2 linked regions of the Saccharomyces cerevisiae S288C genome follow. The protein of the gene in region 1 interacts with the protein of each later gene in a biochemical or structural test. Each region holds a gene or a part of one and is shown on either strand. Other genes may lie near its edges.

The links.
Region 2: the proteins of STE3 (region 1) and STE2 form a complex in vitro, tested with the Saccharomyces cerevisiae proteins (one study listed by BioGRID).

What each region holds. Positions count from the first base shown.
Region 1 is NC_001143.9:112,527-116,559, forward strand, and holds STE3 (Ste3p), read right to left. Parts: upstream 2,102-4,033; coding exon 689-2,101; downstream 1-688. Other genes in the region: LST4 (Lst4p), read right to left, coding at 2,974-4,033. UniProt on the Saccharomyces cerevisiae protein: Receptor for the peptide pheromone a factor.
Region 2 is NC_001138.5:80,811-84,375, reverse strand, and holds STE2 (alpha-factor pheromone receptor STE2), read right to left. Parts: upstream 1,797-3,565; coding exon 501-1,796; downstream 1-500. Other genes in the region: BST1 (Bst1p), read left to right, coding at 1-231; GTPase-activating protein GYP8, read left to right, coding at 2,464-3,565. UniProt on the Saccharomyces cerevisiae protein: Fungal class D1 G-protein-coupled receptor that acts as an alpha-factor pheromone receptor performing pheromone-dependent signal transduction involved in cellular conjugation, mating projection assembly, and in cell fusion.

The DNA of each region.
Region 1 (4,033 bases):
AATATAACAGAGTGAAGAAATGAAGCAATTACGCACAATTTATTGTACTGTGTTCATTCAAAACTCTTAAACATATTATTTTGGCATTTTCATGAGCCCCAAGATAATATCATTTGTTACGTAACATTCTCTATGACAGTAATGGTTTTCTTGAATGACACAAGTAACCACTACAACTTGGTGTGCAGAATAGTGATAGAGCGAACTGAAATTGTGGGTACCTAAATATTCTTTGATTATGAGCGGAGATATGATGCTCTTTCATGTTTTCCTGGCCTGAATTTTGGTATGCTCCTAAAAAAATGGCCAATTAAGTGATCGTGCCAATTCTCTCGTTTATTAAAGACTGTTCTGCTAATCGACTTTTGGAGCAAAAGCTTACTTTTGTTTCGAGCTTAAAAAATTTTTCTTGTGTGGAACTTGTATCAATTTCTCCTTATATTTATATATAATACAGACGTTATTGCTTTTCTATAGAAAAAAATAGAAACCAAAGTAGCAAAAAAGCAGTAAATATTAAAGTAAAGTTTACACACAATTCGTCATTTTTACCGCTAAGCCACATATTAGCTGATGAGCTCATCGTTACATTATTTGAGCCACAATTCACTAAAAAGCAGTATTTCAATCCTAGTCCTGTAAAAATAAAATACTCCTAGTCCAGTAAATATAATGCGACACTCTTGTGTTAAGGGCCTGCAGTATTTTCTGAACTATGTTCGTTTGAGCTTGAATTCTCTTCTTTTGAAGCTGGAGAGTAGCAAAGACTTTCCCCTTCAAAATTGGAGCTTGCAGAATTATGAAGCTTTTCTGAATAATCGAGAGTAACTTTTGAGAATCCTCCAAGTGATATTTCGTCGTCAAAGCTCTGTCCTTGCGTGACGTAAGGGATGTGCCTACTTTCTTTTAGGTCTATTTCATCAAGAATATCATCTGTTTCTTTATCAGCAAACAAATATTTTTTGCTTTTATTTTGAGATTTTCTAGGATCATCTGGAATCCTATAGTCGACATAGAAATGCGCTTGTGATATTGGTGTACCTACACAGGGAGAATAGTTTTCTGTACACGTGGAGATATAGTTCTCAGAGTCTGTAGAAAATGGGTTACGGCTCTCTTTGCGTGAGGACAGCTTGTTTAGCAATATGCCTACTCGTTTTTCCTTATTCTTATCAATGAATCTTTTCCACATGTCAAGTACAAATCCTAGTTTGATGGAACGCAGGAATTTAGAGTACATATGCAAAGCATCAGAACCTAAGCCAAAGATTAGAAATACTAGGTAAGACATCAAAACATAAAGCCATATATTATAAATTGGTCTGCCAGGGTCAAATTTAATAATGGTATTCCAGATGGTGCTGGAATGGGTATTTTTAAAAGTATAGTGTCCTTCTACCTGCTGTAAATCTTGAACAAAGGTGTAAACAGAAAAAGGGAACATGACTAAAATAATAATGAAACAGAATATCAACAGCCTTGCGAACCTTGTCAGGTTTAAACCTGAATTGGTACAGTGTAAAATATCCCTAACGTCCTTGCGTTTTTTATAAAACACGAACAGTACTAAGGTGGCATAAACAGCGCCCACAAATGACCATATAAGCATCCACATGGTATACAAAACAGTGGTAATCCATGTCGGAGACAATAAGTTTTGGCAACCGTTGTAACGAGCGATACCATATCTAAATACTTGTAACAGATATGAAAATCCCATGACCATGACAGGTGTGAACAAGCTAATCACAAGGTCCTTGACGATTTTCGTCCATGATGAAAGATCCGGTAAAACACTATCTGCCTTCAAAATTGTATGCAAGTTGTAAATGATGTTGGTAACGGCACATGATATGCCAATATTCGCACCAACCTGCAACTTGATGACAATATCACACCAACCTTTACCATCCCATCTCGTGAGGAAATCGTCGTCACTCCATATTGCCGCATCTACAATACACGTTAAATTCATTGTAAGAAGCCATGTTATCAAAATGATTGCTGGAATATTCTTGGTATGTGAATGCCATGCTAAAGGGGGAGCTAATAGTATCACAGCTAGCAAACAAAGCCCTATTATTGCTGACTTGTATGACATGAAAATTTTGATAGTATTTTGCCTTTCCTACACAAATTTAATTGCCTCTAAAGTTAAAAAGCAATAAAATAGAATATGTGAATACTGCACAAAATGAATACTTGGGAATTCAGAAATTATTCTTACCTTAAGCATCCACTCATATACATATATATATATATATATGTCTTTTCAAAAGACTTCTGCCCAAATTGTGGAGAGAACTCTGCCTCTCCGTGATAACGGCCAAATGAAACGCATCCAATGATGCAATTATTGACAAAGTTTCAAAGTTTCCGCCATTATTCCTTCATTTACACATTGATAGTCGAGAAGTTTCCTAATTAGTGTCACAATGACAGAGAAAATTGTACCAGCGCTTCTAACGAAAATTAGCACCCATACCCAGAGTTCATAAATCTGGCAATGTGGTACAATAATATAGGATTGGTAACATTTCAATTGTAAAATGTTTAACGTTTAGAGAAAAGGGGAGCCAGAACGCTTCTGGTGGTGTAAATACGGAGAAGTCACCTTAAATAGTTTTGTTCTGATAATTGCATTTTTTTGGAAAGATTTGGCTGCTTAAAAGATTCAAGCAATCAAGAGAAACATTACAAGGCCTGCTTGGCCGGTCTACTAGGCTGAAATAATAAGTTTCTGATTATGGTTATCACGGTAAATGATTACGAAAGGGTAAAGCAACGAATGGTTGTTTTATGGTAAGAATACTTTGGCGAATCAACAAATTGAAGTTGCGCAATGTGCGATTCGCTTATGTATCAAAAAAAACTAAAAAATGAATAGAGAAAATCATATATATAAAAGAAAAAAATATCGTACACCTCTTAGGTAACTTGGAATATATTAAACATGTAAAGAAGGAGAAAACATTAACCTGCATTACAATAATGAACAAGAGATGAAAAAATCCGTAAAGCTTCTGAATCGCGAAGCTCACTATCTATTCCATTATCATCATATAACATCATTGCACTCTTTATACTATTTTCAACAAAATTAACGCAGTTTTCCAAACTAGTACTTAGCTTGCCAATCTTGCCACAGGAAAAGATTTTTCTGGTCTTCTGTTTCAACACGTACTTCCTTTTTCCGACAAAATTCTCATCATAGATATTCTGGTTGCTGTTATTGTTGTTATTGCCAGTAAACTCTCTTTTCAATGCGACATCCCTAATGTCCCTTGAACGTAACGATACTAATAGACTTCTTGTGTAATCCGCCTTTAACAGGTCAATCTTCATAGAATTTGTTATTCTGCTCTCTGATTCTTGACCAGCAGGACATGCTTGCAACTGGAAAAAATTGTTAAAATGGGTTAAATACATTGTATATTTCGGCAATAGTTCCAGAGGTTTATTCATCAAGCCATCATCAATATCAGAATCAGTAGTCAAAATATCCGCATAAGAAGAGTTACCTGGAAAAATTTCGTAAGTGGAATTAAGGTCAGCCAAAGAGGGCTGACATATTCTTTCAAAAGCCTCATCCAAAAGATCATCCTGAGAGATCCTTTGGCAATCTCTTTTCAACTCAACGTTCTTTAGTGGAAATTTATATGATATATTCTTAACCAATGGGGGTGCGTGAGACACATCTCCAACATTAGGAGAGCCAGGTGTGCCCATCCAAGGATACTCATCATATTCGCTGATAGACGGTGATTGTTGCGGAGTGGTTAGTGATAACCTGGAGGTTGCTTGCTGCAAAGAAGACGAACTTGAAGTCCTTTGCATATTTCCAGCAGTTGTTTGCAGCCTCTCCCACGACTCGTTGTGTTTTAAAGAAGGGCTTGGTTGAAAGAACTGAGAAATTGTTGGCCTTTTGTTGAACCAAGAACCGTACGAACCAGGTTGGCTTGAGATAGAAGACGATAGATAATGCAATGAACTACTCCCACTTTTGAAGGAAGATGGCTGAATAACTTCCGCT
Region 2 (3,565 bases), on another chromosome or scaffold:
CATCACAATATACTAGCAGTGGCACCAATTATTTTTTTGGTTGGAAATAATTCTATTTTCAAAATGCCAAACAGCGTACCTTTAGACACGTGGGATGGTAAAGTTACCATCATTTTATTTGTGTACTTAACCGTTTTCAGTTTCATTTATGGAATAAGAAATCTGTACTGGATACACCACTTGGTGAACATAATATGTGCCTGGTTGCTATTTTTCGAAACAATACATTAGAACTACAACCCAGTAAAAAAAGATTAACTGTATATATTGCCTGAGAGTTCTAGATCATGGCAAGAAAAAAGCTTGAACTCGTAAAAGCAAAGGTGGTTTCTACCACTACTTACGAGATGTTTATTATGTAAAGGAGTTTAAATATTATCAAATAAGAAAGATACCATTTTTTTTTATAGAGAATGTGGTGCATCTGATGAGCACCTGAATCTAGTAGTAACCTTATACCGAAGGTCACGAAATTACTTTTTCAAAGCCGTAAATTTTGATCATAAATTATTATTATCTTCAGTCCAGAACTTTCTGGCTTCCTCATCAGCTGCCGTATCGGGAGTGTACATGTCGACGGGTTCAACTTCTCCCTCTTTGTAACTTGCATCAGCAAACGGTCCTATCCTAGTATTTTTTGAACTCGTAGGTGTGGGCAACTGATAAAACTGATTTTTCTCTATATCATCTGCAGTCTCAGAAACAAAAGTTCTTTCCGAATGTTTATCCGATGTTGTTTCCTTCCTTCTAGGATATAGGTCATATAATCTACTTCTGAGACTGCTTTTAGCATCGTTGTTGATACTATCAGTTTGAAAGCTAGACAGCGTGCCTGGATAAAACCTATCTGTGGATGTTGTAAAGTCTGAAGTAATTGTGTTTGTTTTGGATGCATTATTAGCAGCCGTGGCCCACATTGATGATAATGGTAAAGACAATACAGCAAGTAATGTTGCAACAGTAGTCAAGACATCTGTTCCCTGGTTTGGTTTCAAACTGTATGCGAGGATGAATATTATCGATGGAACCAACAAAGATTGACATGACATTATGAGTAAAATATGGAAACTATCGAACTGCTTGAGACCAAGGAATCTTCTTGATCTAATAGCTAAAATCAATTTAACTACCAGGACAAATGACATAAAGTTTATTGAGGATGCAAGTAAAATTGTGGATGCATTGAAGTATTTATCTTGGGTGGCACTAACATCATTATAAGTCACAATCATACCTTTAACAGCGCTTACAAAATACATGGTAACTGTAGCAATCCCTAAAGTGAAAGATATCGACGTCAGCATCAAACCTATCCTTTTGAAGTTGTCGCCTGTGAAAATAACTTTTATCTGAAACACCAGTGAAGTCTCAATAGAAGCCACAAGAAGGACTTGAATTATATTTGTAGCACCATAAACATGAACGTCACCTCTACTGATGAACTGAGGAAATCCGGTGAGAGCGTAAGTCACTGAAGAGTAATTAGACAGTAAATATTTAAAATAGAGTGCAGAATGCAAAATGATTAAAAACAATGAAACTTGGTTGATAATGAAAATCGGCGTTTTTCTGCTTCTCGATGTCATCCACATGACAATCAAAGTCAAAGCAGCTGCACCACATCTGACACCAAACATAATGGCCTGAGTAACAGTACTGTTAACTAAACCTTGCAACTCATCGAAAGTGATGGTAGATCCATTCCCATATATGGAAGTGTAGTTAATGGTGCTTTGACCAGGATTATACGTTGGATCATAAAATAGATTGCTCAATGAAGGAGCCGCATCAGACATTTTTGATTCTTGGATATGGTTCTTAACGGTGCATTTTTAAGTAACCAATTATAATTATAGCCAGAGCAGGTGAAAAGAAAAGGTATCGTATTGCTTTGAAGTCAAATAAGATACTAATAGCACTCCTTAAATAGTATTCCACCCACAGAAAAAAATCTTGAATATGTAGGAAAGCTTTTTTCTTCATATGTGTTTCATCATGTACTTACCCAATTAGGAAATTTACATGGTTGAAAAAACTTCAATCTGCGACTTGCCAGGCACAGGTCCTAAGCAGTATGGACGTTGGCCTGCTTAAATTCTTAGCGGATACTATTGTTTCATTGCAAAGCAGGATACTTCTTCTCGTTTATACTAGCCTGTCTTAATGCACGAGACATTTACCCACAGAGCAAGACGTATATTGACGGATTGCAACACCTATTCGAGCACTACAGCGTGTGACAATGCATTTTGGCAGGCATTGGATAACATATCCGGACTATTCTACAGTTCGTTCTATGCTCTTATCTTGAATCTTTGGTGTATTAAAAAGCTTATTGAGGTTTCATAGCTAAATTTTTCCTTTTTTCTCTCTGGGAAGGGAAGATTATCTTGAATTGGCAAAGTAAAGAAATAAAGAGAAAATTTAGCAAATGACATAGAACAAGCCAATTAACAAAATACGATGCCATTAAGGTCATTATTTCATACTAATCAGAGTAGCCACGACAAAGACGCGTTGACAAGGGGAGGTTATAACGCATATCTGGAATCACTTTCTCGTTGTGACAGTGGAAAGGCAGAAGAACAAAAAGGAAAAGTTATATCAAAGTTATTAGAGAAAAAAGATGTCCGAGCTTTGAGGTACATAGGTTTAGGGCCTCTGGGGTTTGTAAACAACTCATTAAGAAAAGATTGTTGGTATGAATTATTGGCGTCCCAGTTGCTTATTGATGATGCAACAGAGTACATTACACCAGTGGAAAAACATAAAGATGAAGGTCAGGTGATATTGGATGCAGAAAGGTCTTTTGGTGGAATTGTCGACAAAAACTTGAAACTGCAATTGAGAAAACTACTGGTGGAGTTAATTACTCGGGTATTGAGAAAGTACCCAACGTTGAACTATTACCAAGGTTATCATGATATTGTGTCTGTTTTCATCATGTGTTTTAGTTGGAATGTCACAAAAGAGAACGGACTGGAACTAGAAAATCTCTCATTGCAAGAAGAAATTGATATGGAAAGGCTGTTTTATTGCATCGAAGCATTTACCCTATTATATCTGAGGGATTTCATGATGAACTCACTAGATTTTTCATTTGAGCAATTGAGAGTAATCTCTTCATTGATAAAGGAATCAAACATGAAATTCTATAATCTATTCAAATTTGACGAAAATGAGCCCCTTTTCGCTATTGGGTCAATATTGACAATCTTTGCACATAATTTGAAACCTATAGATAGCGGTGACAACAATCTTCATAAAATTCTTTTCCAGATATTTGACATGACAATATCGATGCAATCTATGCGTTTACCTTTGATCATATACAAGAACCTGCTATTGCAAAATGCGTCTGAAATTTCGAAGCAAATAGAAGCTAATTCTGATTTCTTCGAGAACGATTTTGACCTGCGCCATGGTGCTATACAAACAGTTTTACAGAAAAAACTGTATGATGAGGCGCTTTGGGAAGAAGTCTTGCAAATAACTAGAAAAGATGCGACTACTGCCAGCAAGAAGGCTTTGAAACGGGTGAGTCTTAATAAATATAGTGCATTAC